Macaca mulatta: one gene and its partner. The protein of the gene in region 1 purifies or fractionates together with the protein of each later gene. This does not show direct contact. Links are inferred from orthologs where the notes say so. Each region holds a gene or a part of one and is shown in the gene's direction. Other genes may lie near its edges. The genes, in order: OBSL1 and CAMKK2.

Region 1 (2,688 bases):
ACTCCATGACCCCCTAACTACACTTCTCCCCCTTCCTGTGCCCTCATCTCCTAACCCTAATATAGCCCTCCCCCTGCCAAGTCTGTCCGCTGTGCCCCTTTCTTCCTGCACACTGGTTCTGAACTTTTTTGGTCAGGACCTTAGGTTGGATGTTGGGGGGTGTAGGCAGGACCAAGGGATGAGGATCGACTGCAGTCCCTGCCCAGAGCTGGAGGCCTCATCCTCCCTTTCTCCATCTCCCCCGGCCAGCAAGGCAGCTGAGGGTGCTGCGGCCTCTGGAGGACGTGACCGTCAGTGAGGGAGGCAGCGCCACCTTCCAGCTGGAGCTGTCCCAGGAAGGTGTAACCGGGGAGTGGGCCCGGGGTGGAGTCCGGCTGCATCCAGGGCCCAAGTGTCACATCCACTCAGAGGGCCACAGTCACCGACTGGTACTCAAAGGCCTGCGCCTGGCTGACTCAGGCTGCGTCTCCTTCACGGCGGATTCCCTGCGCTGCGCAGCCAGACTCGTTGTGAGAGGTGTGGCTCCAGGACCACAGCCTGCCTGCTGACCTGTGTGGCCCTACTCACCCCAGGCATGAATACTGACCCTCGACTCGTGTGACCCCCATTGACCATGCCTGTCTCAGTGTGGCCCTCATTGACATCCCTGCCAGAGTGTGACCCCCCCCCCCGACTCTTAGGCCGTGTGTGGCCCCAGAGACTCCTCTGCCTGAGTGTGGCCCCTGACTGCCCCAGGCTCAGCCAACCACTGACTCTGCTACTGTGAGCATGCCCATGCCATTGTGGTCACTGCTGTCTGCCCGCCTGCACACCATCCCACTGACCACTCTTAACTTGACCCTACTGGCTACACTGCCTGCCATGGCTCCCTCTGCCTGTCCAGTCCCTCAAATCCACTGACTGCCTGAGGGTGACATCACTAGCAACTCTGCTTGAGTGTCCCCCATGTTTGCTTCCAGCCCCAGGATGTTCCTACTGACCACTCCACTGGCATCTCTGCTTGTTTCCCCATTGCCCTCTGGCCCCCAGCTTCTCCCCCACTGACCACCTTAAAGTGTGACTCCCGGTTGGCCACTCCTAACCCATTGGCCCTGTGGCCCTGCCTACCACCGCCCCCCACCCCCCGTCCCCACCACTGACGGGTCCTTCTTGGACCACTTGTCCCAGCTCATCCCCCACTCGCTAGTGTCCTCTACTGACACCTTGTGCCCAAGTGTATGTCCTCCTTGTCCCTACAAGATTGGTCCCCATCCTGCTCCCTCTGCACTGTCCTCCCTCTCCCACTCCCAGAGGTCCCAGTGACCATCGTGCAGGGGCCACAGGACCTAGAGGTGACCGAGGGCGACACAGCGACGTTGGAGTGCGAGCTTTCCCAAGCTTTGGCTGATGTTACCTGGGAGAAGGTCAGATCCCAGCCCCAGCCCAGCCCACTTCAACATAACACCAACAATAATAATGCCCCAGACAGAAACAACTAATACTTAAGCGGATGTGCCTGGCACTGTGCTAAGATTTGCATTGTATTTTATCCCTTACTCCAAGGACAACTCTAGGAGGTAGGTCTTGTCACTGTGATACCTATGAGGAAACTGATGCTCAGTGGAACAAATTACCTACCCAAGGGCAGACAAAAGGTAGAGCCCATATTTGAATCCAGGTTTGCCTAACTCCAGAATCCGTGCCCATGTCCCCTGTGATCCATACCTGGCTCTGGGCTTCCCGAGCACCTTGGCGGCCCTAAGGTCCCCAAAAAGTGACACTTTTTCAAAGAGGCTCCTGGCACGACCCCAAAGGCGTGGGGACAGCCCGACCCCAGCCTGGGAACACGAGACACGCATAAACGCGCCTCGAGACTGCTTGGCATTAACAGAGGGTGCTGCCGCCTGCCAGGGCCGGGGTCGCCTGTGCCCAGCCGGGCCCGCCCCGACCCTCTGCAACTCACGCCCCTAGGACGGGAACGCGCTCACTCCCAGTCCGCGGCTCCGGCTCCAGGCCCTCGGCACGCGCCGCCTTCTCCAGCTGCGGCGCTGCAGCCCCTCGGACGCTGGGACCTACAGCTGCGCGGTGGGGACGACCCGCGCCGGGCCGGTCCGCCTGACCGTGCGCGGTGGGTATGGGGTGATGCGGAGGCTGGGCACTGCTTTGGGCATGAGACTTGCGAAGCGGTCTTCCCCCGACCCTGCTGACCGCGCGTGCTTCTAGGAAGGGGGCGTGGAGGGGGCGTGGTCGGTACCTGCCCTCCACCCCGCCCCGCTCACGCCCCGGGCTCCGCCCCAGAACGTACGGTGGCGGTGCTCTCCGAGCTGCGGTCGGTGAGCGCCCGTGAAGGCGACGGCGCCACGTTCGAGTGCACCGTATCGGAGGTCGAGACCACAGGGCGCTGGGAGCTCGGAGGCCGCCCGCTGAGACCCGGAGCCCGCGTCCGCATCAGACAGGAAGGTCTGGCCTCCTGGTTACCCTCTCGGGCCCCTCGCTGCCCCGCCCAGACTCGGACAGATCCCGCCCCACCGGGACAAGCCCCGCCCCTGACTCGGACGGGCCCCGCCCCGCGGCCCTGTGAGCCTCGTCCCCAGTCTTTCCCCCGCCCCCAGCCCCGAGTCTCGGACCGCTAGTCTTCCCGCTCGGTATCCCGGTTCCGCCCACCCTAGCGTACACTAACGGTGTCCGAACCGACCCAGGGGCCTGCTG
Region 2 (4,474 bases), on another chromosome or scaffold:
ATCCTTGGAGCTGTTTTGGGCCTTTTTGTTGTGCTTGGGATGAGGCAACCTCAGGGGAGCCTGTACAGGTGTGTCTGGGCTTGGGAGCACCTCCTTGGCACCCACTGGCAGCTTGCCGCACGGGAGGCAGCGGACGCAGGTTGGAAACAGCCCCTAGGAAATGAGAAGGTGTTTCCTGGAGGCCTGCGCCACTCAGCTTCCTGGCAGAGGAAGGAGCGTTTCCCTCATCCTGGCCCAGGTCCCGGGGCCATCTGCTCCAGGAAGGCTCTGGTGGCTCGTGATGAGCTGCCCCGTAAGAGGGAACAGGGTAGAGGCACGGCCTTGGGGGATGGCCTCTGCCTGGATTTCATGGGAAAGGATGCAGGGCCAGGGCTGACATTTTGTCAAATCCAAGCAACTTTGCAAAAAAGTCCTCTCACTCTCCACCCCCTGGAATCGAATGCTTCACTGTCCTTCCCTGGCAGAGGGCCTGTCCTGTGAGGGTTACATGGCCAGGCGATTAGCTTGGTGCTGGATGCCTGATGAGAGCTCAGTTGAATGTTAGCCGTTGCTGTTTCTAGGCTAAACTATTGTCTTTTTGCATGATTTCTTTCTTCTGCACAGAGTGTTGGTAGCTTTCATCAGGTCTTTGTAGGGTCTGTGACTCCCAAACCATTCAGGACACTGGCCTAGACTCTGTAGGTGTCTGTGAGGCGAGAAGCCCCTGGATGCATCTCTTCCTGTCAGAGCCTGCAGCACTGAGGCCTGTGTCCCCGGGCCTCCTGTCTGCTGAGCTCTGGGGTTTCACGCCTGCCCTGCCAGCGCCGAGGTCCCCGCCCTGGGTTTGAGCCATCTCTCCTCTCCATCCTCCTCCAGACCGCAAAGGCCGAGACTCCATCAGAGCTGTGAGGGAGGCCAGGGCCAGATGCCAGCTTGCCAAGGAGGCCGATTAAAAACAGCCTTGCCGGGGGCAGATGGCTGGGTGCCCTTGGCCTGGTGTAGGCTTCGATAAGCAATTGTTTTCCTGTTGGTGAGAAAAAAAAAAAAAAATCTCCTTTGACTTTCCCAGGCACTGCTGGGCCTCATTTTCTTCTCAGGAACTCTTGCAGCCCTGTCAGAGGCAGCTCTAGGATGGGGGAGAGACTGACCGCCTGCCCTGGGGGACGCAGGCCGGGCTGAGAGACACACTCAAGAGCAGACCAGCTTGCTTGGACATCAGTCCTCGTGGGAACATTCCAGAGCATAGGCTACCTACCAGAGCAGGCCGTGGGCATCTGTATTAGTCCGTTTTCACACTGCTGATAAAGACATATCTGAGACTGGACAATTTATAACATAAAGAGGTTTAACTGGACTTATAGTTCCACGTGGCTGGGGAAGCACCACGATCATGGCAGAAGGCAAGGAGGAGCAAGTCCCGTCTTACATGGACGGCAGAAGGCAAGGAGGAGCAAGTCCCGTCTTACATGGACGGCAGCAGGCAGAGAGAATGAGGAAGACGCAAAAGCGGAACCCCCTGATAAAACCATCAGATCTCGTGAGACTTACTACCACGAGAACAGTATGGGGGAAACTGCCACCATGATTCAGTTGTCTCCCACCGGGTCCCTCCCACAACACACGGGAATTATGGGAGTACAATTCAAGATGAGATTTGGGAGGGGATGCAGAGTCAAACCATATCAGCATCCAACAGGTATTTGTTGAAGTAATAGTTTTTGAGCACTTAACCACTTGCCGGGCAGGATTCTGAGTGCTTGGTTCATCTAATCCTATGACTATGGGATGGGCACCAACTTTACAGGAGGTCAATGACCGTAGGCTATTGAGCTTGAGGGGATCCGAGTTTCCTCTTCTAAGAGATAAGGATCGTGAAAAGAAGTCAAGTAGCAGCAGCTAGGGCCACGGAGAAATATCGAACTTGAGTTGTATTCTCTCGTTGATGGGGAAGCTGAGACGGACAGAGTTGATTTCTTTCTTTCTCAGATCAGTAAGGGGGAATGAGGGACAGAGAAATAGGAGATAAGACCAACTGCTTCCCTCTCCTGACCTCCTGCCCCATCTGATCCCGTAGCATCCTAGGCCTTATCATCATAACTCCAATCATGGTTACAGGTATTTTCTTTCCTTTAAAGTTTTTTTTTTTTTTTTTTTTTTTTTTTTTTTTTTTTAGACAGTCTTACTCTGTTACCCAGGCTGGAGTGTGGTGGTGCAAACTCACCTCACTGCAACCTCTGCCTCCCGGGTTCAAGTGATTCTCTTGCCTCAGCCTCCTGAGTAGCTGGGACTACAGTACCTACCACCACGCCTGGCTAATTTTTGTATTTTTATTTTTTTATTTTATTTTATTTTATTTTATTATTTTTTTATTTTTGAGACGGAGTCTCGCTCTGCCGCCCAGGCTGGAGTGCAGTGGCTGGATCTCAGCTCACTGCAAGCTCCGCCTCCCGGGTTCACGCCATTCTCCTGCCTCAGCCTCCCGAGTAGCTGGGACTACAGGCGCCGCCACCTCGCCCGGCTAGTTTTTTGTATTTTTAAAGTAGAGACGGGGTTTCACCGTGTCAGCCAGGATGGTCTCGATCTCCTGACCTCGTGATCCGCCCGTCTCGGCCTCCCAAAGTGCTGGGATTACAGGCTTGAGCCACCGCGCCCGGCCAATTTTTGTATTTTTAGTAGCGATGGGGTTTCACCACATTGGCCAGGCTGGTCTGGAACTCCTAACCTCAAATGATCTGCCCGCTTTGGCCTCCCAAGGTGTTGGGATTATAGGTGTGAACCATTGCACCTGGCCTGAATGTGACTATTCTAGATACTTTATGTAACTGCAATCTTACAACACTTGTCCTTTAGTATCTGGCTCGTTTCACTTAGCATATATCTTCACAGTTCGTCTGTGTTGTAGCATGAGTCAGAGTTTCCTTCTTTATTGTGGCTGTATAGTATTCTGTTGTATGGCTCTGCCACGTTTTGTTTATTCATTCTTCTATTGATGGACACTTGGCTATACCTTTTGGCTATTGTTAATGATGTTGCTATGAACATTAGTGTACAAGTATCTGTTTGAATCCCTGCTTTCACTTCTTTTGGGTCTGTACCTAGGAGAGGAGTTGCTGGTTATATGATAACTCTATGTTTAACTGTTTGGGGAGCCAGCAGGCTGCCTCATTGTAGTTTGGATTTGCAGTTCTCTTACTATGAGGTTGAACATCTTGCCACATGATTGGACTCTTTGGCGTTCTCTTACCACACACTCTGTGTGCATGAGTCAGGCCCGTGACAGGGCTGGGATGTTGGGTTTTTCCCTTTTGTCTTTCCTGTTGGGCTTTCCCTGCCGCATGCTGGCATAGTAGCTATTCCATCAGTTCTTCTGAAAGGACCGTTCCGAGAGCACTGAGGGACAGTTTCTGCCTCTCAGCCAGATCCTCCAGGGAGCTCTGGCTTTCTGCTGTCTGTACCTTCCTCTCTGTTACCCCACTACCACCCAGTGTCATCAGAGATACCATTTTATTCATTCATAAAATCTCTACTGGGCCCCCACTCTTTTCCTGGGACATCTAGAGAGGCCCTTTTTTTTTCCTTTTTTTTGAGACGGAGTCTCCCTCTGTTGCCAGGCTGGAGTGCAATGGCGCAACCTCAGCTCACTGCAACCTCTGCCTCCCGGGTTCAAGCGATTCTCCTGCCTCAGCCTCTCGAGTAGCTAGGATTATAGGCATGTGCCACTACGCCTGGCTAATTTTTGTATTTTTAGTAGAGACGGGGTTTCACCATGTTGGCCAGGCTGGTCCAGAGAGACCCTTTGTGATGTGGGTGACTAGCACGAAGTGGCCATCATCCACAGGTGTCTGTCCACAAATGTACTCCCTGAATTCCAGCGGTACCTGTGACATTTGTCCAGCAGAATTTGTCAAACACGTTAACCAAAGGTTAATGTTCGGTCCCAGAGATGGTAAGAATTGACAGCCTAAGGGGATGTGTTAACCTTTTTTATTTTTATTTTTTGAGACGAGTCTCGTTCAGTCCCCCAGGCTGGAGTGCAGTGGCGCGATCTCGGCTCAGTTACTGCAGCCTCCACCTGCTGGGTTCAAGTGATTCTCCTGCCTCAGCCTCCTGAGTAGCTGGGATTACAGGTGCCCGCCACCACGCCCAGCTAATTCTGTATTTTTAGTAGAGATGGGGTTTCACCAGGTTGGCCAGGTTGGTCTTGAACTCCTGACCTCAGGTGATCCACCTGTCTTGGCCTCCCAACCTGCTGGGAGGATTACAGGTGTGAGCCACTGTGCCCGACATTTCTTTTTTTTTTTTTTTTTGAGACGGAGTCGCTCTGTGCCCCAGGCTGGAGTGCAGTGGCGTGATCTCGGCTCACTGCAAGCTCCGCCCCCCGGGTTCACGCCATTCTCCTGCCTCAGCCTCCTGAGTAGCTGGGACTACAGGTGCCCACCACCACGCGCGGCTAGTTTTTTGTATCTTTTAGTAGAGACGGGGTTTCACTGTGTTA

Evidence for each region.
Region 2: the proteins of OBSL1 (region 1) and CAMKK2 purify together in Homo sapiens (affinity purification with mass spectrometry; 4 studies listed by BioGRID and IntAct, with this or other methods). This does not show direct contact. The link is inferred for Macaca mulatta from reciprocal best matches to the Homo sapiens genes OBSL1 and CAMKK2.

What each region holds. Positions count from the first base shown.
Region 1 is NC_133417.1:124,794,084-124,796,771, reverse strand, and holds part of OBSL1 (obscurin-like protein 1), read left to right. Parts: intron 1-249; coding exon 250-516; intron 517-1,290; coding exon 1,291-1,403; intron 1,404-1,950; coding exon 1,951-2,107; intron 2,108-2,277; coding exon 2,278-2,439; intron 2,440-2,688. UniProt on the Homo sapiens protein: Core component of the 3M complex, a complex required to regulate microtubule dynamics and genome integrity. It is unclear how the 3M complex regulates microtubules, it could act by controlling the level of a microtubule stabilizer.
Region 2 is NC_133416.1:128,648,217-128,652,690, reverse strand, and holds the start of CAMKK2 (calcium/calmodulin-dependent protein kinase kinase 2), read left to right. Parts: upstream 1-1,435; 5' UTR 1,436-1,542; coding exon 1,543-1,675; intron 1,676-4,474. UniProt on the Homo sapiens protein: Calcium/calmodulin-dependent protein kinase belonging to a proposed calcium-triggered signaling cascade involved in a number of cellular processes. Isoform 1, isoform 2 and isoform 3 phosphorylate CAMK1 and CAMK4. Isoform 3 phosphorylates CAMK1D.